Linked DNA regions of Pelodiscus sinensis. The protein of the gene in region 1 interacts with the protein of each later gene in a biochemical or structural test. Links are inferred from orthologs where the notes say so. Each region holds a gene or a part of one and is shown in the gene's direction. Other genes may lie near its edges.

Region 1 (7,647 bases):
GTCTCCAGCCAGGAATGGCCAACATGCTTTCAGCATCTCCCCGGTTTTTCATGTAGGGGTAACCCCACCACAACTTTTCATCCGTTGCTGTTCTTCTGTAGATGGCCACGTGTTCTGAGTCTTTGTTCTCTGTCTGGAGCAGCAGATGGTTGAGGGCTCTGAGACACAAAGAGGAATCCACTTGCGAAACACACTTGAGACAATACGAGTCAGCCAAGAGGAGATTCTCGTACTCTGAACACTTCATCCCTGGCATAGGTGACTTGTGGTAGCACTCGGGAGGTGCACCCACCTCCTTATACTCCTGCCAACATTTAAATTGTTAAATGGGGTGCCCCCACATTCTCCTCCCTGCCCCTCTGGGTGGCCCTCCCTGCACCCCTCCCCTGCAGGCACCAGTTGCCTTTTGCAATATACCTAAGTGTCACTCTCCTGTGAAGTGAGAGACGGGGGCTGATCTGGAATCCTGCAGTGCTGACCCCAAGGAAAAGGATTATTTCGCTTTATAATCACCATGTCCAATTTTTTACTTGAATGGTGACACAGATTGGGAATATAATAGTGTAGTCGATTAACCGATAAGCTTATCGGTTAATGCTCTAGATGACACACCTTCTCCCCACCCCAAAACTAGTAAATATTTTAGCAGGCAGGCCAGTAGCCTGGCTCAGTTCTGGCTTGTGCCAGGTCTGATACCTACCCCCACTGCGGGTCTGCATTTAAAGTGTATTGGGAGCTGGGCAGGCAGGCAGCCTGGCTCATTTCCAGCTTGTGCTGGGTCCCGAAGCTCAGATTCTCTTTCCCTGCCCCCCCCCCCCCCCGCCCCCCCCCCCCCCCCCGCCCTGATGTGCTGCTGCCACCCTGGCCTGCTGCCTCTTTATCAGAGGCAGCAGCACAGGGCGACAAGCAGACGGTCCACAAAAGGAGCTGGTTTTTAAACTGGCTTGCCTCGTAGACCAGTGCCTGCCTGGCACCCCGCGCTGCTGCCGGCCCCACCCCCAGGGACGACCGAATAGTTGACTAACCGGTAAGAATTCATGAGGTTATTTGTAGGGTTGTCAGATGGTTTCAACAAAAATACCACACACACTTGACATTACATCACAATCTGCATTACATCTTATTTAGAAAATAGTGGACATTTCTATTTTCTCATTTCTATTTTCTCAATTTGTTTCCCGAACAGAGAGCTCAAATACTGGATTGTCCGGTTCAAAACCAGACACCTGGCAACCCTAGTTACTTGACTGTTCAATTAACCGATATTTAACATCCCTGACACGGCACCCCCTGGAAGTCTGGTTTGACCTTCTCCCCAAACTACTCGTTGGGTACTTTTGAAGTGCTGAGGGTATTCTCGTCAGCCTCCATTACACAGAACAGAACAAAGCTAGCCACCATGCAGTGTAGTGTGGGTACGCAGAGCACAACTGGGTATCCGCTTCACTGGGTTTGGAAACAATCCCTGTAATGTGGGAAGCAGCTAGCTCCCAGGACTCAGGCTCAAAAGGGTGATTTTTGACTTTGCTGAGTTTAGACGCAACTAAAAACTTCAGAGTAGGATTTTCCAAAGTGCCCAGTGTTGGTCTAACTCTGCATCCAGAGGGAGCAACATGAGCCCAGGGCTTGGAGTACTTTCAAAACGTCCATTTCATCTAATGAAACAGCAAGTGCAGAAAGCGGAACATGCTCCCGCTCTCTGTCTTGTTCCATTTACACAATGCTCCATTTATAAAGTGAAGTAAATCCCATTCCAGAAGATCGTTTTCTCGGCGGCATTCAGGTGAAATAAATTTCTCCGTCTGTTTGGTGTGGGTCCTTTCTACTCGCTGCCTGCTGCTACTCTCAGACTTGCCAACAACTTGTGGAAGCTGAGAGAAGTATTTTCAAACTTAGTGATGTTTAAAAAGTCGGTATTTTTCCTGTATCTTTTCAACTCAGGCCTGACCTCCGGCCAGTTTGCATCTTCAGCTTCCAAGTAAACGAGTTTAGTTATTCTTACCCTACTTCCTACAGAAATTTGCCCATAACTGTGTAACAGGGTCATCATGCACTTCTGTGATTGGCAGTTCTTGTGGTCAACTGAACGAGGCTTAAAATGGCAGAGGGTGCTGTAGGTCAAGCTTGAAGTCAGTATCAGAGATGTGATGGAAGAGTTGTAGATATCTGCCCATTCTGTCCAGCTCTGGCTAGTTCTTTTTCACAAGATGTTTGTTTAAACTTCTTCCAAAGAGGATGGAGAGAGGCCGTTCTCAGAGGAGACAGATGACAGAGGAGCAATGGTCTCAAGTTACAGAGGGAGAGGTCTAGGTTGGATATTAGGAAAAACTATTTCACTAGAAGGGTGGGGAAGCACTTGAATGGGTTCCCTAGGGAGGGGGTGGAATCTCCATCTCTAGAGGGCTTTAAGTCCTGGCTTGACAAAGCCCTGGCTGGGATGATTTAGTTGGGGTTGGTTCTGCTTTGGGCAGGGGGCTGTGGAATTTGAAAGCTTGCTCTTCAGCATGAAGGAGGAAGAGTAGTAGAAACTTGAGACACACTCCATGGGAGAGGCTGCCTTTTTAAATCTACAGATTTTTAACCTTATTTCAAATGTTACAAACTCCTTTGATCACGTCTCGCCCTCGGTCTGTATTGAGAGCAACAAATGCATTTTGGGAATGTAGATACTGTATTGAATGTAGTGGCCACATCTCTCCTTTGGCTGGGCTAGTGGTATGTTCCATTCACCTCTGAGCTTTGCTGGTTAGCATACTGGTGCCAGGGAATACCGTTTGGTTATTAAAGGAGCGCACTGTGGCCTGATAACAGATTTATTGCCAGGTGCCAATTAGTATCAAATTTAGGTCTTTCTTGGATCATGAATTTGAGGACTCTGCAATGATTTTCCATAAGATTTATGCAGATAAAAGGCCAATTCAGTTGCAATTTTTAAAAAACGTATCCCATTTTTTAAATTTTCTCTTTACGGTTTGCTTTTTATTGAAAGGATGCTTTTGATTTTAGTACAAAAGCGTCCCTAACCTCGGTTTTGATTAGAAAAGTCATGGAAAGACCTCGTGGCTAGGAGCCTAAGTAGAAATAAGCCACGTGTTTTTAATTAACCATTGAAACAATTTACCTCAGGGTGTGGTGGATTTTCCATCATTGCAAGGTATGAGCTTGATGCATGCAATTCTCTGGTCTGTGTCATGCCGGAGGTCAGGCTGGGAGCATGTCTTCAGGTGTAGTGCTACAGCGTCGCCCCTGCACCGGTACCATTGTGCGCCTCTAGCGCGTTCATGGAGAGCTGCTCCCATTGGCAGAGTTACTCCATCTCCCCAAGAGGCAATAACTGTGTCACCTGGAGATGTACTCCTGTCGACCTGGTGCTGTCTACACGGGGGGTTAGGTAAATATAACTACGCCACTCGGATGTGGATTCTTCACTGCCTGAACAACGTGGTTATACCAGGATAGGTGTGTAGTAGAGACCTGGGTTAAGTAATCACAGATGTTCCCCTCTGGCCTTAAAATCTTTGCATCTGTGACTGTAAGTTCTGTGTGTTGAACATTCTACCACCCGCTGCTCCAGAGCGGATGTGCAGTGTTGTGGTACTGATGACTCGTGCGCGTGGGCGGAACATACAGACTCGCAGTTTGTTTGCAGTCGCAGGCAGGTGTTTCTGTTGTGCCATCCATCCTCTCCACCTACACCCGGGGTTCTGATGATGCAGACAGGCTACTGAACGAGAATACCCGAGCCGCTCTGTCGAGAACGTAGCAGAGGAAGACGTGGTCTAGAGAAGGGAAGATGGGTAGAATTCTGGGAGGCTGAGAGGTGTTAGAAGAGGAGGAGCTGGGGGGCGGATTTAAATTCATTTGTAACCTTGGGCAGAGGAGAATATCTGTCCCCTTACATTCTGGCCCGTGCTGCGCGAGCACATGGCTGCACAACCCACCATTATTTTGGACCGACGGAAGCAACTAACGTTTAATTTGCCGTGTGGCCAGCCTGTGAGCTTCACTGCCATTGTCCAGCGCTGTAACATGAGAGAGACTGGATGGTTTTGTGGCCTACAAAATCCTGCAGTTATGCCAGCAAAGAGAATGATAGCCAAGGCTGGCCTTTTGGGCATGCTCTGCTGGGAGAGAATCTACCCACGGGGTGCACAGAACATAACGGATTGCCCACCAGCATATTACTGAGGCAGGAGGGAGTTTTCAGCATGGGAGACAGGATAACATGATCAGCTACGGCAAATCCCATGTGTATGTTGGTACCCTGCCTCTTCCCAGCAAGGGCGCAGGCAGGCAGAGATGATGGATGATTCCATGTATATCACCAAAGCAAAGTGGTTCTGGTTTCAAGCCTATTGACAGGGACAAGATTCCTTTAAAGCCAAGAGAAGTTGCAGAATTGAATTTGCTCCTGCAAATGGCAGCGTGGAGTGGTTACAAGAAGTCTCTTAAGTTTTTTTTTTTTGTGTTGCAAGAATGACTTTCCGTTGACGTATCTATGCTAACTGTGCCACACTTGATATCCTACCCTTCCTCTTCGCCCCCACAGAGGAGCTGAGCTCCCCAAGGCCATGGGAGAGAGTGGAACTTGGAAGTCAGGAGCATGCGGCAAGGGAGATTCAGCCAGAAAAACAATCAGGTGAGGTTCTTCCGGAGACTCTTGTCCACTTGTATGAAATGGAGACTGGAGAACAGGCAGCAGAAATCCCTGCCAGTGCTGAGACCTCGATACCTGTGCCCCTGGGTATCTGTGAAGACTTCAGAGCCTCTGAAGAAAGCCAAGAGGCAATCTCCAGCACTTTGTTTACTGCGCCCTGGGACCGTGGTGGCAAAGAGGATGCTGGAGCGAGGAAAATGTTGGCCGATGACTTTGCCACATCTGCAGTTTCTGAATTCTCTCGGAGTGGTCCAAGTGATGAAATGTCCCATCGCGAGACACTTGCTACTCGGTTTGAAAAGTCGCCCCTGGGTGTTGATGATGTGGGGTATGATCCAAGGGACAGCTCCTGTATCAAAGGGGGGCCATCTCCTTTACATGCCAGCGGCAAATTGAAAGAAGAGGCCTCTGCGCAGGAAAAAGATGAGGACCGCGACATTGACGAAACTGTTCAGCAGGGTTCACCATCCTCATTATGCCGACAAGACTCGATGCTTGAAGCATTTCCCCATCCAGCCGCGGCCGAGGAAGCTGTAGAGGTGGATGCAGAAGGCAGGGAAGCTCATAAAGTGGCAGAGACTCTAGATGACACTCAACGGTGGCTGTCGGGGAAAGTGTATGATGCTGTCGTCCCGATGGAGCCCTCCGTAAGGATGTACCAAGTGGAAGTGGAAGCTAACGTAATAAGGGAGAGGGAAATCTCAGCTTCTCCACTAGAAGCAGCCACGTTTCCCGATAGGTTAAAAAAGGACGTGGCAGATGGAAGCGTTTCCGTGCAACAGGAGACGGGGGGAATGGTGCAGGCCATGGCAAAACAAGAGGCACTCAAAAAGAAACCTGCAACTCACATGTCAGAGAAACAAGTCAGTCGGGTTCCTCGTTTAAAAGGTGTGTGCATCTCGTTTTCCTGCTCCGCACTTGCTTCTCCAATGAGTTGCTTGGGGCAAGGCTGCTACAACCTCTACTGGCACCCCTTGCGTCCTGCTGCTTGAGAGTTGGCCGTAGGTGTTTGTGCCAAACGAATTCAGAGAGTGCTGCTGCTTTTCTCCCTCAGTTTATGCCTCGCCCTTGGTTTGGTTCATTGGCCTCACCCTCCGCTTCAGTTCTTGCTTGGATGCTGGCGTGCTCCCGGTTGTGCTTTTCTCCCTTTTCTTTTCAGTGTCTTTCGGTTGATCACAGCTGCTATGTAGGCTCTTTGATTTCACCCACCACTCTAAATAGATATAAAAGAAAAGTGTGAGAGGGACTTGTTCTGGGCATTAGCCTCCCTGGAGTAGCGTTGACACAGAGCAGGCTACATAGTTTCATAGCCGTTGCTAGTAAAGCGCATATGGCCAGGGGAGCCGACCCGTTCTGCGGGCCCCAGGCAAGATGGGGCGTCCAGCTCTATACACCCAAAAGGGGCGGGGCTTCAGACGGAAGGGGCGGAGCCAGAGGCAGCCAGCCCTCTGTCGCCCAGTACACGACACCTTCACCTCCTTCAGCTCTCAGAGCTGCCCAGTAGGGACGTTCGATCGCGTGTAGTCGAACAGTCGTGTTACCCCATCAAATTTTAGCAGTTACACGCCATAGTCAGCAGTCAGTGTGCACCCTTCCCCACTCCCGGGGAGCCTCCTGCCACCCTGCACTGCTGCCTCTAAATCTATTTGAAAACCCCCTTCCCATGCAGACCAGCTCCCCCTGCTGCTGCCTCCTGATTGAGGTGGCAGCAGCCCCTGTCTGTGGTTGGCCCGAGCTCCCCATGGACAGAGGCTGCTTTGCGGCAGCCTCCCCTGTTCCCTTCTCCTCTCCCCCTCCCCCCCACACACGCTGCTGTATCTAATAGAAGTAAAGTTAGGCCTGAGAACTGTGTTCCCTGTAAGTTGAGCACTTGGGTGGCCTCCCAGGAGAGATTCAGGTGCCGCCCTGCTGATTAGAGGCAGTTCTATCAGAGGCAGCAGGGTGGGGTGGGGGGGAAGGGACAGGCAGCACCGGCCTCCCCCCGCACTCTGCTGTCTCTGTAGAGGCACGCTGACATCCCAGGGCAATTGCCCCTGTGCCCCACTCGCCATTGGCGGGTTTCCGGCGAGCCAGCCCTTCGTGTCAGTGTTTCTAACAGTGCGAGAGGAGGACAGCAGGCAGGACTGTGTCCTCCCTTTGCAGGCCCAGCACTATGTGCAAGACCACCCCAGAGAGATGGCGGAGTTGTTGGGTGTATTAGAGAGGAGCGAGGTGACACTTGGCTGTGAGATGCCTAAGGGTGTCTGCCGAGAAACCTTGATGCATGTAACTGCTCCGTTAATAGCACTGCAATCAGGTCGCGCTACATTTAGGTGTTCAACTTTGTGCAACCAGGTTAGCTTAACCGGCAAGAGTAGGTGCCTAGATTCAGCCTGTTGGGGCACAAATGCCTTTGCTTGTGTGACAGGCCATTTTTCCTCTGCATTCGAGAGCTATTTCTCCTTTCATCCGAGGGAAACCTTGGGAGGTAGCCTGTTCACTAAAACATGGCTGCTCAGGAGGCTTGCAAGTTAGTGCACAGGCGTGAAAAACACAACGTGAGTTCTTTGGGGGCCAGACCAGGTGCAGCCATCCAGAGTTCGAACGTGTTTCTTCTGCTAGAGACGTGACAGTACAGTCGATTAACTGGTTAACCGATAAGCTAATGCTATAGGCTGCATGCATGTCCTTCCCCCCCCAACCTGCCAGTACATTTTTTAGCAGGCTGGCCAGCAGCCCAGCTCAGTCCTGGTTCGCGCTGGGTCCGGGGCCTACCTCCGCTGCCACTCTGCATTTATAGTGTATTGGGAGTCTGGTGGGCAGGCAGGCTGGTTCAGTTCCAGCTCGTGCCAGGTCTGGGAGTCCAGCCCCTCCTCTGGACAGGGGCTGCTGCCCCCCTGTGCTGCTGCCTCTGCTTCAGAGCTGGTTTTTAAACTGGCTTCTCTTGTGGACCAGTTCCCGCCTGGCACCCCATGATAGAGGCAGAAGCGCAGGTGGTAGGGGGCTCCTCG
Region 2 (7,584 bases), on another chromosome or scaffold:
TGGCTCACGCTGGGGCGGGGGGCGCTCTGGAGCTGGCTCTCGCTGGGACGGGGGTGCGCTCTGGAGCTGGCTCTCGCAGGGACGGGGGAGCGCTCTGGAGCTGGCTCTCGCTGGGACGGGGGGTTGCGCTCTGGAGCTGGCTCTCGCTGGGACGGGGGTGCGCTCTGGAGCTGGCTCTCGCTGGGACGGGGGAGCGCTCTGGAGCTGGCTCTCGCTGGGACGGGGGGTTGCGCTCTGGAGCTGGCTCTCGCTGGGACGGGGGTGCGCTCTGGAGCTGGCTCTCGCTGGGACGGGGGTGCGCTCTGGAGCTGGCTCTCGCTGGGACGGGGGGGCGCTCTGGAGCAGGCTCTCGCTGGGACCGGGGTGCGCTCTGGAGCTGGCTCTCGCTGGGACGGGGGTGCGCTCTGGAGCTGGCTGTCGCTGGGACGGGGGGGCGCTCTGGAGCTGGCTCTCGCTGGGACGGGGGGGGGCGCTCTGGAGCTGGGTCTCGCTGGGACGGGGGGGCGCTCTGGAGCTGGCTCTCACTGGGACGGGGGGGTGCTCTGGAGCTGGCTCTCGCTGGGAACGGGGAGCGCTCTGGAGCTGGCTCTCGCTGGGACAGGGGAGCGCTCTGGAGCTGGCTCACGCTGGGGCGGGGGGCGCTCTGGAGCTGGCTCACGCTGGGGCGGGGGGCGCTCTGGAGCTGGCTCTCGCTGGGACGGGGGTGCGCTCTGGAGCTGGCTCTCGCAGGGACGGGGGAGCGCTCTGGAGCTGGCTCTCGCAGGGACGGGGGTGCGCTCTGGAGCTGGCTCTCGCTGGGACGGGGGTGCGCTCTGGAGCTGGCTCTCGCAGGGACGGGGGTGCGCTCTGGAGCTGGCTCTCGCTGGGACGGGGGTGCGCTCTGGAGCTGGCTCTCGCAGGGACGGGGGAGCGCTCTGGAGCTGGCTCTCGCTGGGACGGGGGGTTGCGCTCTGGAGCTGGCTCTCGCTGGGATGGGGGGGCGCTCTGGAGCTGGCTCTCGCTGGGATGGGGGGGCGCTCTGGAGCTGGCTGTCGCTGGGACCGGGGTGCGCTCTGGAGCTGGCTCTCGCTGGGACGGGGGGGGCGCTCTGGAGCTGGCTCTCGCTGGGACGGGGTGGCGCTCTGGAGGTGGCTCTCGCTGGGACGGGGGAGCGCTCTGGAGCTGGCTCTCGCTGGGACGGGGGTGCGCTCTGGAGCTGGCTCTCGCAGGGACGGGGGAGCGCTCTGGAGCTGGCTCTCGCTGGGACGGGGGGGCGCTCTGGAGCAGGCTCTCGCTGGGACGGGGGGGCGCTCTGGAGCTGGCTCTCGCTGGGACCGGGGTGCGCTCTGGAGCTGGCTCTCGCTGGGACCGGGGTGCGCTCTGGAGCTGGCTCTCGTAGGGACGGGGGGTGCGCTCTGGAGCTGGCTGTCGCTGGGACGGGGGGGCGCTCTGGAGCTGGCTCTCGCTGGGACGGGGGGGGGCGCTCTGGAGCTGGCTCTCGCTGGGACCGGGGAGCGCTCTGGAGCTGGCTCTCGCTAGGACCGGGGTGCGCTCTGGAGCTGGCTCTCGCTGGGATGGGGGGGCGCTCTGGAGCTGGCTCTCGCTGGGATGGGGGGGCGCTCTGGAGCTGGCTGTCGCTGGGACCGGGGTGCGCTCTGGAGCTGGCTCTCGCTGGGACGGGGGGGCGCTCTGGAGCTGGCTCTCGCTGGGACGGGGTGGCGCTCTGGAGGTGGCTCTCGCTGGGACGGGGGAGCGCTCTGGAGCTGGCTCTCGCTGGGACGGGGGTGCGCTCTGGAGCTAGCTCTCGCAGGGACGGGGGAGCGCTCTGGAGCTGGCTCTCGCTGGGACGGGGGGGCGCTCTGGAGCAGGCTCTTGCTGGGACGGGGGGGCGCTCTGGAGCTGGCTCTCGCTGGGACCGGGGTGCGCTCTGGAGCTGGCTCTTGCTGGGACCGGGGTGCGCTCTGGAGCTGGTTCTCGTAGGGACGGGGGGTGCGCTCTGGAGCTGGCTGTCGCTGGGACGGGGGGGCGCTCTGGAGCTGGCTCTCGCTGGGACGGGGGGGGCGCTCTGGAGCTGGCTCTCGCTGGGACCAGGGTGCGCTCTGGAGCTGGCTCTCGCTGGGACCAGGGTGCGCTCTGGAGCTGGCTCTTGCTGGGACCGGGTTGCGCTCTGGAGCTGGCTCTCGCTGGGACCGGGGTGCGCTCTGGAGCTGGCTGTCGCTGGGACGGGGGAGCGCTCTGGAGCTGGCTCACGCTGGGGCGGGGGGGCGCTCTGGAGCTGGCTCTCGCTGGGACCGGGGTGCGCTCTGGAGCTGGCTCTCGCTGGGACCGGGGAGCGCTCTGGAGCTGGCTCTCGCTGGGACCGGGGAGCGCTCTGGAGCTGGCTCTCGCTGGGACGGGGGGTGCGCTCTGGAGCTGGCTCTCGCTGGGATGGGGGGGGCGCTCTGGAGCTGGCTCTCGCTGGGACGGGGGTGCGCTCTGGAGCTGGCTGTCGCTGGGACAGGGGGCGCTCTGGAGCTGGCTCTCGCTGGGACCGGGGAGCGCTCTGGAGCTGGCTGTCGCTGGGACGGGGGGCGCTCTGGAGCTGGCTCTCCCTGGGACGGGGGAGCGCTCTGGAGCTGGCTCTCCCTGGGATGGGGGAGCGCTCTGGAGCTGGCTCTCGCTGGGTCCGGGGTGCGCTCTGGAGCTGGCTCTCGCTGGGACGGGGGAGCGCTCTGGAGCTGGCTCTCGCTGGGATGGGGGGGGCGCTCTGGAGCTGACTCTCGCTGGGACGGGAGGGTGCGCTCTGGAGCTGGCTCTCGCTGGGACCAGGGTGCGCTCTGGAGCTGGCTCTCGCTGGGACCGGGGTGCGCTCTGGAGCTGGCTCTCGCTGGGACCGGGGAGCGCTCTGGAGCTGACTCTCGCTGGGACCGGGGTGTGCTCTGGAGCTGGCTCTCGCTGGGACCGGGGAGCGCTCTGGAGCTGGCTCTCGCTGGGTCCGGGGTGCGCTCTGGAGCTGGCTCTCGCTGGGACGGGGGAGCGCTCTGGAGCTGGCTCTCGCTGGGATGGGGGGGGCGCTCTGGAGCTGGCTCTCGCTGGGACGGGAGGGTGCGCTCTGGAGCTGGCTCTCTCTGGGACCAGGGTGCGCTCTGGAGCTGGCTCTCGCTGGGACCGGGGTGCGCTCTGGAGCTGGCTCTCGCTGGGACCGGGGAGCGCTCTGGAGCTGGCTCTCGCTGGGTCCGGGGTGCGCTCTGGAGCTGGCTCTCGCTGGGACGGGGGAGCGCTCTGGAGCTGGCTCTCGCTGGGATGGGGGGGGCGCTCTGGAGCTGGCTCTCGCTGGGACTGGAGGGTGCGCTCTGGAGCTGGCTCTCGCTGGGACCAGGGTGCGCTCTGGAGCTGGCTCTCGCTGGGACCGGGGAGCGCTCTGGAGCTGGCTCTCGCTGGGATGGGGGGGCGCTCTGGAGCTGACTCTCGCTGGGACCGGGGTGCGCTCTGGAGCTGGCTCTCGCTGGGACCGGGGAGCGCTCTGGAGCTGGCTCTCGCTGGGACCGGGGTGCGCTCTGGAGCTGGCTCTCGCTGGGACCGGGGAGCGCTCTGGAGCTGGCTCTCGCTGGGTCCGGGGTGCGCTCTGGAGCTGGCTCTCGCTGGGACCGGGGTGCGCTCTGGAGCTGGCTCTCGCTGGGACGGGAGGGTGCGCTCTGGAGCTGGCTCTCGCTGGGACCAGGGTGCGCTCTGGAGCTGGCTCTCGCTGGGACCGGGGTGCGCTCTGGAGCTGGCTCTCGCTGGGACCGGGGAGCGCTCTGGAGCTGACTCTCGCTGGGACCGGGGTGCGCTCTGGAGCTGGCTCTCGCTGGGACCGGGGAGCGCTCTGGAGCTGGCTCTCGCTGGGTCCGGGGTGCACTCTGGAGCTGGCTCTCACGGGCCCCACCAGGTTACAGTGGGGCTTAGCTGCAGGCACCAGAGCAAGCAGAGCGCTCTATCCGTTCCCACAGCTCTGCCCCCCACATGGAGTGAGGTCCCTAGCAAGATGCATGCCGGGGGAAGGGGGGGCCGCACGGGTCTCCAAACATCACAGTCTGGGGCTGTAGTGAATTTTCATCCACACCCCACCCAGCATGAGGTCTCAGGGTTCCCCACAAACATGAGGCACGAGGTGTGAGCACCGCACAAGGCACATCATGGCACCACAGCAGGTCCCAGCACCACCCCACACAACCAACCTCAGCCCCAGGTCTTGGCCCCCCTAACACCTAGGGGTCAGGTCCACCCCCCAGGGTCACCCCCCCCAGCTTGTTAAACTTGGATCCTCTCTGTGGTTTCCTTGGCAAACAGGACACACATGCTGCTGGGGGCTGATTCCTCCCTTTGGGTCTGCCCCCCGAGTGTGGCAGGAGCGACTCCCCTTTGCCTCCTGCCCCTCCATCCCTGAGGGGGCTACTTGCTGGCAGAGACAGGAGGCCTGGCAGACAGCACGGGGCAAGGGGAGAGCACGTCTGTTTGTCTGTCGCCTGCCCCGGCAAGCAGAGGGTTAACACTCTCCAAGGGGGACTGTGCAGCTCCATGAGGGGGGGGGGGGGAAGTAACCTTCACCCCTACAGCTGCCTTGGCGAGTTTGTGCTGGCTCTGCCCCCACCCCGCCCCCGTGCTGCTGCTGTGGGTATTTAAGGCAGGAAGTGGGGCCCAGGCATCGAGAGCTGAGGGCAGCCTGGGAAAAGACAGGGTGGGTAGTGCAGGCCGGAGGAGACGGGTGAGGGGCAGCAGGAGGAGAGGCAGAGGTTGCAACCTTCAGGAGGCTGGTTTGGGGGCAGGTGGGGGGCAGCCCAGAGGTGGGTGGGGTGGGCAGCAGCCCAGAAGGGCAAGGGCTTTCCTTGCTTTAGCTTCCTATGGGCTCTGCACCTCAGCTTGTTTCTCTGTGCCAGGCCTCACCCTCCCCAGCCTCCTTCACCCCAGCCCTCTCCCCCCCCAGCCTCCTTCGCCCCAGCCCTCTCCCCCCCCAGCCTCCTTCGCCCCAGGCCTCCCCCCCCAGCCTCCTTCACCCCAACCCTCTTCCCCCCCCCAGCCTCCTTCACCCCAACCTCTCTCTTCCTCCCCAGCCTCCTTCACCCCAGCCCTCTCCCCCCCCAGCCTCCTTCACCCCAGCCCTCTCCCCCCCAGCCTCCTTCACCCCAGCCCTCTCCCCCCCCAGCCTCCTTCACCCCAGCCCTCTCCCCCCCAGCCTCCTTCACCCCAACCTCTCTCTTCCTCCCCAGCCTCCTTCACCCCAGCCCTCTCCCCCCCCAGCCTCCTTCACCCCAGCCCTCTCCCCCCCCAGCCTCCTTCACCCCAACCTCTCTCTTCCTCCCCAGCCTCCTTCACCCCAACCCTCTCCCCCCCAGCCTCCTTCACCCCAGCCCTCTCCCCCCCCAGCCTCCTTCACCCCAACCTCTCTCTTCCTCCCCAGCCTCCTTCACCCCAGCCCTCTCCCCCCCAGCCTCCTTCACCCCAGCCCTCTCCCCCCCAGCCTCCTTCGCCCCAGGCCTCCCCCCCAGCCTCCTTCACCCCAACCTCTCTCTTCCTCCCCAGCCTCCTTCACCCCAGCCCTCTCCCCCCCCAGCCTCCTTCGCCCCAGGCCTCCCCCCCAGCCTCCTTCACCCCAGCCCTCTCCCCCCCAGCCTCCTTCACCCCAGCCTCTCTCTTCCCCCCCCAGCCTCCTTCACCCCAGGCCTCTCTCCCCACAGGCAAAGCTGCAGCCATGAAGGTCTGGACTGTGCTGCTGGGAGCCACCCTGCTGGCAGGTAAATGGCCCCTTGAGTTCTTCCCCATTCCCCTGCCCCTCACCCGGCTAGATCCCCCCCCCCCCCCACGCTAAGGGGGCTGGGAGCCAGGACTCCTGGGGTCCATCCTGGTGCTGGGAGGGCAGTGGGGGCCAGTGGTTAGAGCACTGGGGCTGGGAGCCAGGACTCCTGGGGTCCATCCCGGCGCTGGGAGGGCAGTGGGGGCCAGTGGTTAGAGCACTGGGGCTGGGAGCCAGGACTCCTGGGGTCCATCCTGGTGCTGGGAGGGCAGTGGGGGCAGTGGTTAGAGCACTGGGGGTGGGAGCCAGGACTCCTGGGGTCCATCCCGGCGCTGGGAGGGCAGTGGGGGCCAGTGGTTAGAGCACTGGGGCTGGGAGCCAGGACTCCTGGGGTCCATCCTGGCGCTGGGAGGGCAGTGGGGGCCAGTGGTTAGAGCACTGGGGCTGGGAACCAGGACTCCTGGGGTCCATCCCGGTGCTGGGAGGGCAGTGGGGGCCAGTGGTTAGAGCACTGGGGCTGGGAGCCAGGACTCCTGGGGTCCATCCTGGCGCTGGGAGGGCAGTGGGGGCTAGTGGTTAGAGCACTGGGGCTGGGAACCAGGACTCCTGGGGTCCATCCTGGCGCTGGGAGGGCAGTGGGGGCTAGTGGTTAGAGCACTGGGGCTGGGAACCAGGACTCCTGGGGTCCATCCCGGCGCTGGGAGGGCAGTGGGGGCCAGTGGTTAGAGCACTGGGGCTGGGAGCCAGGACTCCTGGGGTCCATCCCGGCGCTGGGAGGGCAGTGGGGGCCAGTGGTTAGAGCACTGGGGCTGGGAGCCAGGACTCCTGGGGTCCATCCTGGCGCTGGGAGGGCAGTGGGGGCCAGTGGTTAGAGCACTGGGGCTGGGAACCAGGACTCCTGGGGTCCATCCTGGTGCTGGGAGGGCAGTGGGGGCCAGTGGTTAGAGCACTGGGGCTGGGAGCCAGGACTCCTGGGGTCCATCCTGGTGCTGGGAGGGCAGTGGGGGCCAGTGGTTAGAGCACTGGGGCTGGGAACCAGGACTCCTGGGGTCCATCCTGGTGCTGGGAGGGCAGTGGGGGCCAGTGGTTAGAGCACTGGGGCTGGGAGCCAGGACTCCTGGGGTCCATCCCGGCGCTGGGAGGGCAGTGGGGGCCAGTGGTTAGAGCACTGGGGCTGGGAGCCAGGACTCCTGGGGTCCATCCTGGTGCTGGGAGGGCAGTGGGGGCCAGTGGTTAGAGCACTGGGGGTGGGAGCCAGGACTCCTGGGGTCCATCCTGGCGCTGGGAGGGCAGTGGGGGCAGTGGTTAGAGCACTGGGGGGGGGGTGCTGACTCCGAGCCCCAACCCGTCCACAGATCGTGTGCTCCCTTTCAGCTGGTAACCCGCCTATTGTGCGTTTTGTACAAAGCCTGGACCAAGGAAGCCCCCGATCTCTGTCAGGATCTGCAGTGCTCAGCATGACAGGGCCCCTGTCTTGGTGGGGGTCCATGCAGGGCCCGGGATGACAGGGCCCATCTCGGTCAGTCTGGGTGGGGCCGGCGCAAAGGGCCCCCGTCTCGGTCAGTCTGGGTGCGGCCGGCGCAAAGGGCCCCCGTCTCGGTCAGTCTGGGTGCGGCCGGCGCAAAGGGCCCCCGTCTCGGTCGGTCAGTCTGGGTGGGGCCGGCGCAAAGGGCCCCCGTCTCGGTCGGTCAGTCTGGGTGGGGCCGGCGCAAAGGGCCCCCGTCTCGGTCGGTCTGGGTGGGGCCGGCGCAAAGGGCCCCCGTCTCGGTCGGTCAGTCTGGGTGGGGCCGGCGCAAAGGGCCCCCGTCTCGGTCGGTCAGTCTGGGTGGGGCCGGCGCAAAGGGCCCCCGTCTCGG
Region 3 (7,814 bases), on another chromosome or scaffold:
TCATGTTTTCTATTTTTGTGTCTATTTATTGTCCTTGTTCCACTTCCTCCTCACCAATCTCTCTCCCAGTATCCTATTTCTGCTTTCTCATGTACTTTGGTTGCCAATCCTCTGGGTTTTGTCAGAATCAGACTCTATCTTCCATAGGCTTCTAAAGCCAAAACAGGAGATTTTTACACCACTAAAAGTGCAGTGGCACCGCAGGGGTAAGGCAGGCTCCATACTTGCTTTGCCACTATTGGAAGCAACCAGTGGCTCACTGCAGTCCTTGGCAGGGGAGCCAGGGATCTCCACATGCTGCTCTCACTCTGAGCACCAACTCTGCAGCTCCCATTGGCCAGCAACTGCAGTAATAGGAACGGTGGGGGCAGCCACTGCAGGCAACATGCAGGCCTGTGGACAGAGGCCATTCCTGCACACTCCCCCCGCAGGAGCTTTCAGGACCAGCATGGAGCCAGGGAGCCTGTCTTAGTTTCACTATGCCACTGACTGGGAGCCACCTGAGGTAAGTGCTACCTGGCTGGAGTCCCCACATCCTGAGCCCCCTTCCAGAGCCCAGACCCCCTCCTGCACCAGACCCACTGCCCAAGACTAGAGCCCTCCCATCCTCTGAACCACACCCCCTCCTGTACCCTAACCACTTGCCCCAGCCCACTGAAAGTGAAGGAAGAGTGAGGTAGGGGAAATGGAGTGAGCAGGCAGGGCCTCTGAAGGGGCATACTGGGGCAAGGAGTCTGAGTTTGTGCCATTAGATCAGTTTCTCCCAACCAGGGTTCTGCGGAACTCTGAGGTTCCGCAGACCATGGTCAGGGGTTCCACGAGAAATCATGGTATAAATAAATACAAATTTTGAAATACTGTGAACAATTCCAAATATCCCTCGAAATATCGCAGGAATTTTTGTCCGGCAATTGGCAATACTAGAGTAATCTTCGTAGGCTACCAACTGCCTCTTTGTTTTGGTCAGTTTGTATCTAAGGTTATATTTAGTTGTATTGTGCCTGCCCTTCCACTTACCAGAATTCTCTGCATTTAGCAGTAATGAATTGCACTCCCCACTGTCAACTATTTTTGACCACACAAACGTTTTCCTAGGTAGGGGTTCCTCGGGATATGAAAAATTATTTTAGGGGTTCCTCCATAGGAAAAAGGATGAGAATCACTGCATTAGATAGTTGTCAACCTAAATGGATTCCACCAATTTCTCCCTTACACTCATCCACTCATATGCTGGGATAGAAACTCGAATCAGATGTTACAACAGGGGCTAAACCTAGGACCCCACAGCATAGAATAGTATGTAGGAACTATGTTGTGCAGAAAAATGCCTCAGTGAGATAGATGCCAGCTCCTTCCCACTGCAGGAAAAGAAAGAGAGGAGCAGGTGCAGTCTCTGGAGGACATTATTCATCATTCTTGCACTGCAGGTTTTGGGTAGTCAGAGTCTAAAACTGATGGGGAACCTTTTTGAGTCGGGGCCACTGACCCACAGAAAAATCAGTTGGGGGGTTGCACAAAAGGAAGAAGCAAACAAAAACAAAACAAACAAAAACCTCACAGTTCACTGTGGTAGCCTCCAACTGAGAAGCAGACTCTTCCCACAATCCCCTTGTACATCAGAGCCTGGGGGTTTAAGCTAGTAGATTTTGTGGGGCCCCCAAACTCTGAGGTGAGGCTAAAAATGAGAGGTTCAGTGTGTTTGAGAGGGCTGCCTGGAAGCATGCATTGGATGTGGGGTCTGGTAGGGTGGTGAGGCTGGGCAGGAAGTAAGATGCAGAAGTGGAGTGAGGGTACAGGATCTGGGTGGGAGTGGGGGTACAGGAGCAGGCTGGAGATTGGTAGTGGAGAGTCTGGATGGGAGGGGGTTCAGAAGCAGGGTGGAAGTGGAGGGTCTGGGAAGGAGGGGGTGCAGGAGCGGGCTGGGGGTAAAAGATCTGGACAAGAGGGGGGTCCAGAAGCAGGAGTGAGTGCGGGGTTTGAGCGATGGGGGGCACTTAACTGGCACAGCTCCCCAGGAATGCACAGGGTTCGGTGTCCCCTGCTGCTCCTATTGGCTGTGAGTATAGCCAATCAGAGTAGTGGGAGAAAATTCTCCAGGCAGCAGGGAGAATGGAAATGGCAGCATGTGGAGTCATTTCTTTCCCTCCCCCAGGCAGAGCCCCTGAGTTGAATCTGGCCTTCCCTTGCCTAACTCTGTCCCCCAAGGCTCCGGGCTCCCAGCTGCTGGGGGTGGAGTCCTGGGGATCAGTTCCCCACTCATTGTCTAAAAGTGACCCTGCTTCACCCCTGGGGCCATCGGTTCCCCACCCATTGTCTAAAATGCAGGTGGGTAATAAGCAGCCTGCGGACCAGACACAGTTTCCTGGCAGGCAGGGACACTTTATTTACCTGCACATCCACTGGAATGGCTGCTTGCAGCTCTCTGTGGCTGTGAATTGCTCTCTCAGCTACTGGGAGCTGTGGGAAACTGTCCTGGCATGCATCGCTTCCAGCATCTCCCATTGGTCAGGAATAGTGATCCATGGCCAACAGGAGCTGTGACCCACTGTACCTGTAGATGTGCAGCTAAACAAAGTGTCTGGTAGTCTGCCAAGAACTAACCCTGGCAAACTGCATCCAGTCCATGGGCTGTTTATTGCCCAATGTGGTCTAAAAACAAGGATAAATACCCTACACAAGGGCTGCAGGCATAGGCAGAAATTTTGGTGATGTCCAGAATGCCAGAGCCTGCACTCTAATGGCACTCACGCTCTTCCTCCTCCAACTGTTTAAGGCTCTGAGAGGGAATTTGGGTGCTATGTGCAGGCTCTGGGTCGGCACAGGAGATACAGGCTCTGGGATGGAGTTTGGGTACAGGAAAGGTGAGGCGCTGGAGGGATTTGGGGTGCAGGAAATCTGGGGGTACAGGCTTTGGGAGGGAGTGTGAGAGTTGAGGCACAGGGAGAGCATTTGGGGGCTGAAAGAGGAATCCAGGGGCAGGACAAGCCCCTATAAAGTACTGTCTAAGGCTGCAGGAATTCTATTCTCCTAACCAAACTTGCTGATTAGGACGGGGGTCTCAAACTCACAGCACTGGGAGCCATCTGCACCTGAGCAGTTCCACAATCTGGCCCATGCACAGTTGCTGGCATGTGATTCTCTGTGGCCCTTAGATGGTGGTCATACCCTTCCCGCAAATCCAGTCCCTGCTCTGCCCTCTCCCCTCCATTGCACCCCTTACCTCAAGCCTCTTCCCCTGAGCTATGTGGCCTTGGGGATTACCAGAGGGCCTAATGCAGGGAGGAAGATGGGGTCCCCTGCACTCACTGCAGTGACAGGAGCTTTAAGAAAGCGAAGCAATGCAGAAACTGCTCTGCTCCACTGCCATCTCCCAGGTCAGCCCTGTCACTCTGCTTCACCTTAGCAGCAGAAAGTGGAGTGCCCCAATACGGGACTGGCCTGGGAGATGGGGGTAGACCAAAACAGGCTGCTGCTCAGTTCCACTCCCCACAGGTCCTATTGCTGTGGTGAATGTAGGGACAGCCTGCCCAAGTCCCCACAAGCTAACCTGAGTACCTTTGCACATACCTCCCCAAGGCCACAGAGACATACCTGCAGTGGCCCAGAGCTAACATCTGGAAGCCATTCTAGTCCCGCTGCCTTACCTGTGGTGGCAGCTGGGGATGGGGCTTAAATCAGCAAGGGGACAGTCAGAGCTAGGGGATTCATAGGAGGGGGAAGGAGTGTGCAGGGCAGCAGGTGAGGCAGGGGGAGAACATGTGCCGACCTCTCCCCCTGCAGCTCTGCCAGACTGAAGTGCCCACTAGGAAGATATGAGGACTGGCACTGGCCCTAATATAAACTGAGTTTGAAAGCCCTGGGTTATGGTCTCTGCAGCAGCCAGAAAGCTGAGAGTAGCAAATTTGCATCTGCTACCTCTTCCTTCTCCTCTCCATTTAGGGCCTCCTCCCTAGTGACTAACTGCTGCAGGGCTGCCTTCTGCTATTGCTCATCGCTTCGTCCCGCTGTAGGTTTCTTTCTTTATAGCAGCCACCGTCCATACCGAAGTTTAACTTAGCAGCTGAGGTACTGGCTCAGCTGCCCGCGGAGCCGGGCAGGCAGCGCTGCCCCCGGCTTAATCCTGCGGGAAAGCGCCGAAAGGGGGGTTTCTCCACAACTGCACGCTAGAAACTTCTTTGCCTGCTGCGGGAGGAATGGGTGAGTGCGGCGGCGGCTGCCTGCAGGCGCTCATGCGCCAGATCCCGCTGGCTCAGGCCCAGGGGCGGGGGCAGCAGAGGCGGAGGCGTCTCCCGCCGCTGTGCGCAGGATGCAGCGGCTCCGAGCCCTGCCCAGGCAGGCGCGGGGCGCGCGCGCGCGCTCCCCCTGTGTCCGCAAGGTCCCGCGCCAGGGACAAGCCGGGCTGCGGCGGCACCTCCGAGTTCGGAACGTCACACGCCGGTGGCAGCGGGGAGAGAGAGAGAGAGAGAGAGAGAGAGAGAGAGAGGCACCAGTTGCCACGGCAACCAAGCCCCGCCTTCGCCCATTTCTCCCCCTCCTCACGTCAGCGCGGCCTCCCGCCGTGATTGACAGTTACCATAGTAACAGGCTTGTCCCGTCGCCATTTTGTCAGTTGGGTTTTTTTTTTTTCAAATAATTTTCCCTTCCCGCTCGAATTATAATTTTACCCAGGAAACCGTCCTCGCGGGTTTTAGGGGCTCCGTCCCTTGGCGGCGGCAGAGAGGGGACGGGGGGAGGGGGCGGCGGCGCGGGCGGGCGCGGCAAGGAGCGGTCCGGAGAACAGCCCTGGAGAAGCCGGCTCGGAAGGGGGGAGGGGGAGGAGCAGGGGGGGCGGGGAGGGAGGGGAGAGCGGGCGGGCAAGTGAGCGAGGAGTTCCCGGGGGCTCGGTTCGGCGCTGCGCTCCCCCCGCCCGTCCGCCAGCTCCCTCGCTCGCGCCGCTGTCTGCGAGCTGCCTGGCCGGGGCTCGGGCCGCCGCCGCCACCGCCGCGTCCGGGCCCGGCTGCCGCCGGTGGCTGCGCAGGTTTGGAACGCGCGCCATTTTGTGAGCGATAGAAAATCTGCCCGGCCAGGAAGCGCCGCGGATCCGCCCGCCGGGCCGGGCCCCCCCCCCGACTCCCCGCGAGAGGGAGGCGCGTTGCAGGCTCCCTCCGGGGCCGGGGCCCCGCGCCACAACCGGGGCCCGAGGGCGGCGGGACTGGCGGAGCGGACGCGCTGCGGTGCTGGGACTCTTGGCCGAGGCGGGGGAAGCGCCGGGCTCAGCCGCTGCCGCCTCCCCGCAGCTCGCGAGAGGAGGCCTCTGCCGGGACCGGCCCCCGACGGCAGCCGGGCAGGAGAGCAGAGGCCGCCGCCGCCCCCACACGGGTAAGTGCCCTGGCGCCGGCTCCGCTAATGCCGGCCCCTCGACGCGGGGACAGCCCCGCTGCCATCTTAGAGCAAGGGGCCGGGGAGTCCCCGCCCCAGCTTGCCGGGCCGGGCCCGCTGCACCCGCGCCGCCCTGGGGAGGCTGGGTCTGGCCGGGCGGCCGCAACACCTTTTTCTCCCTGGCATGAAGGTGTTGGGCTCTGCGGCCCCCGCTGCCCGGCCAGGGCTGCTCTTGTCGTTCTGGTCCCGGGGGCTGGGAGAGCGGGGCGATGATCCCGGCTGCGGAGTGGGAAGGGGATGGCAGGACTCTCCGGCTGTGACCTTATGGTAGGTGAGATGGGTCGGGCTCTTCCGCAGCCCCCTAGGCCGGGAACGAGTCAGAAGTTGAACAGAGCAGGCACCTGTTGTGGTGGTGGGCTGAAGTGCCCCGTCTGCACTCGGGTTCGCGATTTCTGTGTCAGGTGTGGAAGTTGGAGGTGGGGATGGTGGGAATACTTGTCACGTTACTGTCATTTTGGAAAACCCACAGAGTGCACGTCTTCTAGTCGTTAGCTAGCTGCAGTGTTTGGCTGTGTTGCTAAAGAAGCTAGAAAACATACATCATGCATTTGAGATAATAAACGTTTTTGCTGTAAAGCAGCTCTTTTGCTAACAAAGTCCAAAACTGCAACTAAAGTACTGTAACTAGACATTCCAATAATGATGTGTTTCTGACTCTCTCAGCTGTGTAGTTTCTAGTTTAGTCTTTCCAAGGACTGTGTAAGGATTCTTTGATCAAGAATCTTGAATGCTGGTGCTGCTTAGCTTTCATTATTCTCCAGTCATCAGGAAAAAATCAAACGGAGGTGTTTTTAGCTAATAAATAGAGAGAACTTGTTAAAAATCGACAAGGATAAAATATATGACTTATTTGCATCCCAGAGATAACGTGCAGATAAAATGGTATGTGTTTCCAAACACTTGCAAGTATTACAGTCACTTTTAAATGGACAGTGCTCAAGGTTCTGTACAAATAGAAATTAACTATTTTTATCATTATATTGCTATCAGGTTGTTTTTTTTAACTTATTCCAAATGAAGCTTCCTTAAGAATCCGGAAGTATTCTGATAAATCCTCATTTTTGGTAACTGCAGAATACTGTTGAAATAATTATACTCTTTTGGGTCTGATGTGTTAGTAACTACATTCCAGTATTTGAATGTTAAATGTTACTAGTCTGATTACTGGTTTTCATGTGTTCAGCGAATTTATTAAATATATAAATTGTTCTGTAGATTGGTTTTGGTGTCATCAGCTCATATGAAGAGGTACCTGCAACAAGGGTGTTTTCTATATTTGAGGTTTAATGTAATTGATATAAAGTGTGCATAAGTTTTATTTTTTCTTTCTATTACTTTTTTTGGCATTTATCGTAAGTGTCTAACTTAACAGTGCTTCATACCTGTATCTTGAAGTTAATGTGCAAAGTGAATGCATCTGGTTTAGAAGTTGAATGAAAGAGAGCAATTAGTTTTATAGCTTTACAAAAGGAACAGTTTCTTATTTCTAGATACTGTACAAGTGTTTGCTAAATAAAAAGTACTTTGATATCGTTTCCAGGCTAACAAAAATATGGTAGGACACAATTTATGTCAGTAACTTTATTATATTTACTGAAATAAGATTTGTGTAGGTTTTGAACTTATCTTGTTTTTTAGTGGCCAATTTGAGTAAAGAAGAGTGAGTGAGGATGGTTTTAGTAAGTAGTAGAGGCAAGGAGATTTCTCTGATACTTGTGCTTCAAAAAAGTCCAACGACATGCCAATAGTATTCACACTATGTGTAAGGTGATAGTGATGTGGTCTGTTAAGCATCTGTCTTTTTTTTGAAAGTTTTGGGCTCTGTGTAGATGTTAGCACATGTTAGGTAATGGTCTGGACAAGATGCACTAACTTGACAAGTTTAGCCTGTATTATAAAGCAATTTAACTTGTCTAGACTAGACTTTTTAAAATGGTATGTGTTTTCTAACATGGTAGTACCCCATCTTTAAATCTTAGTCTAGAAAAGGGTTTAAAGAGAAACTTTTAACTGAATTGAAACATTTAGACTGTCTCAACAGGTGAAAGAGTTGTGAGGTCAATTATGGTAACTCGAATGAGCAAAAACAAAAAGGTAGGATATGTATATAGTGTGGTGCTTTTTGCTACAAGAATGTCTGTTTGAGAGCTTTCCTATTGAAAACTTTCCTAATTTTGTGGTGTGGGGTTTTTGTTGTGTGTGGTTGTAAATCTATGAGAAAGTAAGTAAACAAGTAGTTCTGATAAGGGGAATATGTTCTTTTTCACTGGTTATTGGAAGGAGAGAGGAATTATCTCTAGTATATATTGTGCTGATCTTTTAATAACAATTTCTGACCTGATCTGTAAACTCCTCAGAAACAACTAAGCATGCCATGCAGAGAGAATATAAGTGCA
Region 4 (7,436 bases), on another chromosome or scaffold:
ATGGTTCCTTCCCATATGGTGGAAAGAGTACGATGAGTTCTTCCAGGGTTATTACTTTTTAGCAGAGGTTCCCAAGCCACGGTCTGTGGGCCACCAGTGATCCAGAGGCAGAGTCCTTCCTGGCATTTTCCAGGTTGAGATGTTTTGGGATTGGAAGGAAGACAACCCAGGAGGGGATCATTATCCTCAAGCATAGTCCAAAGAAGGAAAGAGCTGTATGACTATTGAAAAGGAGACGGCCAAGTGGGCTGAGGCTCAGAACTGAGGCTCTGGGGGACGACAAGGTGTTGCGTGACCTTATGAAAAAAAAATTTCCAGCAACATTTGGTTTTGTTGGAGAGTGGGATTTACAACTTCCTCACCCACAGTCTGAGCACATCGCTCCCAGCTCCTTCCATCGCTTCAGGGGTTTCCTCTTCTATTCCTAAGCATGTGCTCCTCTGACCACCCTTTCAAGCCTCTGTTCCATTACAACACCACTAGTCTCTTCCTTTAGTTTCCACCATCTCCTCCACCTTGCCCCCTACCTTCTTCCTGCTCCTCTCCTTCCTTGGACTTTTCTCCCCACCCCTCCTCCTGTGAGTCAACAGCCCATGCAATGTATTATGCAGCAGGGAGCCCGCCTCCTTGTTTGTAAAGAGTTGTGTACAGTATTAATGTTACATATATATCTGACTGAAATAATAGTTCCTCTATTTTAGTGGAAACACACGCACAGCTCTATTATGCTAGTGAGAGGAAAATTACCAAGCTGTGTGAAATGTAAAAATTAAACAAACAGGACACCTCGGATTAAAAAATATTCCTGCTCTGATATTCTAAGATGTTATTACTGAGGCAAACAGTATAACTTTTAAATAAGGGGGGTCAAATCCCCAGACTCAAAAGGTGAGGAGGCTGCTACCTGGCATAGTGTCACTGTACCCTCTCCACTGTAAGATCCTGTGTAGAAGACATAGCCTGAGCAACTGCATGTGGCAGAAAAGTCACATGCTTCTGTGATCCCAGACTACTGGGTCAATCCCTTAGGGCTGAGGGTAGCTGACTGCAATTACAGCAAGCCTGAGGCTCCTATAAGTTGTCAGGGCCCACAATAACCCCTCAATTAAGGAGTCACAAAGGCAGAATAAAGATGCCATTGCCCCTCCCGCTGTCTTACATCACGCATGGTTCAGAAAGAGCAGAGGATTTGACTGGATTTTTTTTTTCCTTAACAGCAACACCTTTAAAATAGGAACAGCAGAATTAAATAGATGCCAACTACAGAGGCCTTAAGGCTGACAGCATCAGACTCTTACCACATATGTTTAAAAAAAAAATCAATATAATCATCAGAGTTCAAAACCACCAGTAATTGAAAATGTTACAGACCTCAAGGCTCTGAGGCTATGACTACACTATAGAGCTTAAAGTGGCACTGGTGCAGCTGCACTACTGTAAGCTCTCCAATGTAGTTGCTCTATGGCTCGTGAGTTTAATTTTTCCAGTCCCTGCAAGTCTTGGTAGCAATTCTCTCACTGACACCGTGCCGGTGCTTAAATTGGCATACGTTATGTCTTTCAAGGGGATGTTTAATTCACACAGTCAAGCAACATCACTTCTGCCAATTTAAGCTGCAATGTAGCCTTAGACCCTCCCTGCCACTACACACACTTTGATTGTATGGCTGAAATGTTACATACAATGATTCACCTGGGAAAGCTACTTACTGCTAGTTTCCATTCCATGAGTTTCACTACTTCAGCCCGTGTCAGATATTTTTCTTTCCTCCCTGCAATAGCAACTGGCAGCTCCTCCTGATACCTGAAACAAAAATCCGTTGGTAGACAGAGTCAAAATATTTTCTTGAACCCAGATGTTCATGCTGCTGGAGTTGCAGCTGGTACTGACAGAGCACTGCTGTGAGGAAGCTCATGCTCTGGAAGACCCGGCTGTTACTAATGGAGTTGGGTTGGCAGGGATTTTACACTGAACCGTGCACCTCCTCATACCATAGAGTACAAAAGAAGCCATATTAAATGCTGGAAGATTTACCACTTATCCAACTCGGCAAGTTTTTTCTGCTTGCCTCCTTTGGCTTTGAGTACATCCCAGTAGACACCAAATACTGTCCTCCAGTAGATGGGGTCTTCACAATCATACAACCCTCCTCTTGGTGGCATGTTTCAGAGCTCTGGGACACAAAGATCTACAAGAGAAAGATAAACAAAACTGATGCTTGTAGAAATACAGGGCAGAGACCTTACGGGAAGAAAATGCTGATTCTTGTGTCTGCAAACCCCAAATCCTTCCTCTTCACCTCTTTCACTTTCTATTGGCCCTGTCCGCTTTCTCTCTCCTCTCTCTACTCCTAGCTCTTCACCCACCCTGCTCTTCAGCAGGCCTCTACACCTCTTCACACCTATGGTCCTAAGGCATGGCCTCTAAGCCTGGCTCTCTGCACCCAGGGAATTTGCAACTTTCCTTGATCCATATAAACAACCCCACCCCACATGTCTCTATTTCCCTGCAACACCCTGGGCCTGCTCCTGTCCACTAGTTCCCTTTGCCTTCCAGACCCCCACTCCATGTCCCTGCCCTCCATTTCCCTCCAGTCAGCTCCGTGACCCTTCCATAACCCAGCCCCCTCACCCCCCCAGATCCCCCATCTCAGCCTCCTACTTCATCTCCCTGCCTCCACTTCACCCCCAGCCCCCTGACCCTTTCTGGCTCCCTCCATCTCCCCAGCCCCTGCTAGTCCCCCTTTCTCGCCCCCTCGAGCCCCGCCCTCACGACATCCCCCTGCTCCCTCCCCCTCCATCCTGCCCCTCCGAGCCCCGCCCTCACGACATCCCCTGCTCCCTCCCCCTCCATCCTGCCCCTCCGAGCTCCCCCGAGCCCCGCCCTCACGACATCCCCCTGCTCCCTCCCCCTCCATCCTGCCCCTCCGAGCCCCCCCGAGCCCCGCCCTCACGACAGCCCCCTGCTCCCTCCCCCTCCATCCTGCCCCTCCGAGCCCCCCCGAGCCCCGCCCTCACGACATCCCCCTGCTCCCTCCCCCTCCATCCTGCCCCTCCGAGCCCCGCCCTCACGACATCCCCCTGCTCCCTCCCCCTCCATCCTGCCCCTCCGAGCCCCCCCGAGCCCCGCCCTCACGACAGCCCCCTGCTCCCTCCCCCTCCATCCTGCCCCTCCGAGCCCCCCCGAGCCCCGCCCTCACGACATCCCCCTGCTCCCTCCCCCTCCATCCTGCCCCTCCGAGCCCCGCCCTCACGACATCCCCTGCTCCCTCCCCCTCCATCCTGCCCCTCCGAGCCCCCCCGAGCCCCGCCCTCACGACATCCCCCTGCTCCCTCCCCCTCCATCCTGCCCCTCCGAGCCCCCCCTCACGACATCCCCCTGCTCCCTCCCCCTCCATCCTGCCCCTCCGAGCCCCGCCCTCACGACATCCCCCTGCTCCCTCCCCCTCCATCCTGCCCCTCCGAGCCCCCCCTCACGACATCCCCCTGCTCCCTCCCCCTCCATCCTGCCCCTCCGAGCCCCGCCCTCACGACATCCCCCTGCTCCCTCCCCCTCCATCCTGCCCCTCCGAGCCCCCCCTCACGACATCCCCTGCTCCCTCCTCCTCCATCCTGCCCCTCCGAGCCCCCCCGAGCCCCGCCCTCACGACATCCCCCTGCTCCCTCCCCCTCCATCCTGCCCCTCCGAGCCCCCCCGAGCCCCGCCCTCACGACAGCCCCCTGCTCCCTCCCCCTCCATCCTGCCCCTCCGAGCCCCCCCGAGCCCCGCCCTCACGACATCCCCCTGCTCCCTCCCCCTCCATCCTGCCCCTCCGAGCCCCGCCCTCACGACATCCCCTGCTCCCTCCCCCTCCATCCTGCCCCTCCGAGCCCCCCCGAGCCCCGCCCTCACGACATCCCCCTGCTCCCTCCCCCTCCATCCTGCCCCTCCGAGCCCCGCCCTCACGACATCCCCCTGCTCCCTCCCCCTCCATCCTGCCCCTCCGAGCCCCCCCTCACGACATCCCCCTGCTCCCTCCCCCTCCATCCTGCCCCTCCGAGCCCCGCCCTCACGACATCCCCCTGCTCCCTCCCCCTCCATCCTGCCCCTCCGAGCCCCCCCTCACGACATCCCCTGCTCCCTCCTCCTCCATCCTGCCCCTCCGAGCCCCGCCCTCACGACATCCCCCTGCTCCCTCCCCCTCCATCCTGCCCCCTCATTCCCTCCCCCTCCGAGCCCCCCACTCTCGCCCCGCCCCCTCCCCTCGCCCCCCAGACGCGTTCAGCCCCCCCCGCTCTCACCCTCCCAGCGCCCGCCCCCTCTCACCGGCCCGGCCCCGCCGGAAGTCCCGCGGGCTGCGGGCGGGGCGGAGGCGGGCCGGCCGGGCTGTCGCAGTGCGAGGCCGCTGGGATCCGGCCGGGCCCGCTCGGCAGCGCTGCGGCATGAAGGGGAAGGAGGAGAAGGAGAGCGGCGGCCCGGGGCTGGGCGGCGGCTCCGGCGGCGGGGGGCCGGGCGGGGGGCCCCGGGGGGGCGCGGCGGCCGGGCTGGGCGGGGGCAGCCCCGAGAAGAGCCACAGCGCCCAGGAGCACAAGGAGCAGGGCAACCGGCTCTTCGTCAGCCGCAAGTACCCCGAGGCGGCCGCCTGCTACGGCCGCGCCATCGTGAGTGGGGGGCCGCCGGGGGGAGGGGGGGTGTCGGGAGGGGGCGGGCCGGGGGGGCTGTCGGGCGGAGGTGGGGGGTGTCGCGAGGGGGCGGGCCGGGGGGGCTGTCGGGCGGAGGTGGGGGTGTCGCGAGGGGGCAGGCCGGGGGGGCTGTCGGGCGGAGGTGGGGGGTGTCGCGAGGGGGCGGGCCGGGGGGGCTGTCGGGCGGAGGTGGGGGGTGTCGCGAGGGGGCGGGCCGGGGGGGCTGTCGGGCGGAGGTGGGGGGTGTCGCGAGGGGGCGGGCCGGGGGGGCTGTCGGGCGGAGGTGGGGGGTGTCGCGAGGGGGCGGGCCGGGGGGGGCTGTCGGGAGGAGGTGGGGGGTGTCGCGAGGGGGCGGGCCGGGGGGGCTGTCGGGCGGAGGTGGGGGGTGTCGCGAGGGGGCGGGCCGGGGGGGCTGTCGGGAGGAGGTGGGGGGTGTCGCGAGGGGGCGGGCCGGGGGGGGCTGTCGGGAGGAGGTGGGGGGTGTCGCGAGGGGGCGGGCCGGGGGGGCTGTCGGGAGGAGGTGGGGGGTGTCGCGAGGGGGCGGGCCGGGGGGGCTGTCGGGAGGAGGTGGGGGGTGTCGCGAGGGGGCGGGCCGGGGGGGCTGTCGGGAGGAGGGGGGGGGTGTCTGCGGCCCGGCGGGCGGAGCGGGGCTACAGGACCCTGCTGAGGCCTAGCTCGGAGCTGGGCGGCGCTGCTGGGGAGGGCTGCCCCCCACCGCAAGGGAGAGCCTGTGGGGCTGGGGGGGGCTGAGCTGTCTGGGGGGGCAGTTCCCCTCCGGGGGCGGCGGCTGGGCGGGTTCGCCCCGCATGGGCCGTGCTGCAGGACTCAGTTCCTGCCTTAGCGCTTCTGTCTCCTCCTCACCCCCGCCCGGCTTTGGAAGGATCCAGGCTCCTGTCCCTGCTTCCCCGCAGGCCTCCTCCCTCCCCCCCCTTGCTGTGTTGGTGACAGGGTCTCCTGGGAACAGGTGGCCTGGAGAATGTTTCCCACTCCGGCACACGCAGCCTCTGGATGGGGGCCCAGACTGCTGTCAGCAGCCCACTCGCCATTCAGTGTGGGGAGGGTCAGAGAGACCCTGTCAATCTCTTACCGAAACTGGCAGCAAAAGCAAACAGCTGGGGACGTTGGAAGGTGTATGTGATGCTGAATGGGGTTGCACAGGACACTGGTGATCTCCTAGTCTCTCCACAAAGCACCATATGGGATCTTTAGCCTTACAACTGAAGTACTTGTCAATAGAGCCTTGGTTTCCACTCCCATATCCACTAGGTATGGGCAGGGAGGATCTTAGTTTAAAATGTCATCCAAAGGACTTATTCTACATAATACTGCACTGCGCTGCTAGTGAGCTCTGGCTAGGGCAGCACTTAAACTTGGGATGTGGTCCAGATTACAGGTTTACCAGCAAAGCCATAATCTAGGACTTTCCTGACTATAGCTTTTGGGGATTTGGGTTCCTAAGGGTATGTCCTTTTGGGAATAAAATTCTTTGCTTCTAACATGGCTCTCCCATGGGGATTGTTTTCTCTCTGGCTCTGCAGAACTGAGTTGCACATAGGGCATGCTAATGTTCAGTGATTACTGTTTGGGATGCTTTTCTACTAGGTCTGGCATAGTCTCTGTGCCCCACCTGGTATTTAGCTGAGTCAAGTATTTCCTCTGTTTCGTTAGGAAGATAGCATTACAAAAGCCAGTTTGTGTAGTCTGGCTATTCTATGTTTACTTACACATCCTAAACAAATCTCTGCTCTGTGTTGTCTGTAATACACTCTTCATTTGGGTGACTTTCACCATCTAGCCTGTCTCAATGTAGGATTCATGGTTTTTGTAGTTGGCTATTGTGGTATTGCTTCTTAAGTGTATATTTGTATCTCAACCTGGCTGCTGGTTCATGGTAACTACTAACGCTTGTTAGCTGGTCCATCTTGATAATAGGGGCTGCTGGACTCAGCACGAGCCGGGACTGAGCAGTCCTATAGACTAATTGTGTAGTCTATACAAATTCTGATTAGCTTGGTAACCACAATGTAATATTCCTAGTTGATGAACTTTTAAACAACATACCTTTAGAAAATAGCTAATGGAAATGTACTGGGCAAGATTATGCATCATAAGACTCTTCATTGCTCTAGAAATCCAGGAGTGATCACTTAGCTCTAAGGATATGCTGATTAACATCACTTGTATGCATTTACTGAACAAGCTGTGGTCTGAGAAGTAGTCTAGAACCTTGAAAACTTGGGTTCAGGTTTTGAGTCAGAAGCGAAAATGTGCGTTGGTCTCTTCAGAATCCCCTGTGGATGTTTGTTCACATCATCAAATCACTGCGAAGTGAAGAAATCCAAAACTTGAATAACTGGGGGAGGGGGTAGGTCAAGATTGCAACTCGCCAGTGGAGCTGAGCCAGAGACCCAGGACCAGAATAGCAGGCGCCGCAGGTCAGGACGGTGGTGCGTTATCAGGATAAGTGGAAGTCCAGGGCTAGAACACCGAGGAGCTCATGTGGCAAGGAATGTGGTGAACTGGCAAAACAAGGAGGAAGGATTGGAACTGTCCATGGTGCAGCACATCAAGAAGTGCATTGGCATTTTGTATTTGAAGGCCCAGGGTCTAGGTGACAGAGGTCAGGGTTCTACAGCACTGGCAGAGCTGTGTGGGGGAAGTATGCACTGTTCCAATTTTCATGAGCAAAATAGTTATGCAGTTTAAAATAATTCAGGTCAAGGATTGGGCCTGCACCCAATTACACGTTGCAGGATTTCTGAGCAAAACTGTCCT

Evidence for each region.
Region 2: the proteins of MAPT (region 1) and APOE form a complex in vitro, tested with the Homo sapiens proteins (2 studies listed by BioGRID, with this or other methods). The link is inferred for Pelodiscus sinensis from reciprocal best matches to the Homo sapiens genes MAPT and APOE.
Region 3: of the proteins of MAPT (region 1) and DYRK1A, one has a biochemical effect on the other in vitro, tested with the Homo sapiens proteins (2 studies listed by BioGRID). The link is inferred for Pelodiscus sinensis from reciprocal best matches to the Homo sapiens genes MAPT and DYRK1A.
Region 4: of the proteins of MAPT (region 1) and STUB1, one has a biochemical effect on the other in vitro, tested with the Homo sapiens proteins (11 studies listed by BioGRID, with this or other methods). The link is inferred for Pelodiscus sinensis from reciprocal best matches to the Homo sapiens genes MAPT and STUB1.

Annotation. Positions count from the first base shown.
Region 1 is NC_134739.1:7,126,206-7,133,852, reverse strand, and holds the start of MAPT (microtubule-associated protein tau), read left to right. Parts: upstream 1-4,647; 5' UTR 4,648-4,677; coding exon 4,678-5,545; intron 5,546-7,647. UniProt on the Homo sapiens protein: Promotes microtubule assembly and stability, and might be involved in the establishment and maintenance of neuronal polarity.
Region 2 is NW_027465876.1:424,165-431,748, reverse strand, and holds the start of APOE (apolipoprotein E), read left to right. Parts: upstream 1-4,575; 5' UTR 4,576-4,675; exon of another isoform or gene 4,676-4,702; intron 4,703-5,672; 5' UTR 5,673-5,686; coding exon 5,687-5,729; intron 5,730-7,584. UniProt on the Homo sapiens protein: APOE is an apolipoprotein, a protein associating with lipid particles, that mainly functions in lipoprotein-mediated lipid transport between organs via the plasma and interstitial fluids.
Region 3 is NC_134711.1:186,526,232-186,534,045, forward strand, and holds the start of DYRK1A (dual specificity tyrosine-phosphorylation-regulated kinase 1A), read left to right. Parts: upstream 1-4,808; 5' UTR 4,809-5,358; intron 5,359-5,416; exon of another isoform or gene 5,417-5,685; intron 5,686-7,814. UniProt on the Homo sapiens protein: Dual-specificity kinase which possesses both serine/threonine and tyrosine kinase activities. Exhibits a substrate preference for proline at position P+1 and arginine at position P-3.
Region 4 is NC_134726.1:5,342,914-5,350,349, reverse strand, and holds the start of STUB1 (E3 ubiquitin-protein ligase CHIP), read left to right. Parts: upstream 1-4,421; coding exon 4,422-4,640; intron 4,641-7,436. Other genes in the region: uncharacterized protein LOC102443902, read right to left, coding at 1,710-1,803, 2,035-2,162. UniProt on the Homo sapiens protein: E3 ubiquitin-protein ligase which targets misfolded chaperone substrates towards proteasomal degradation.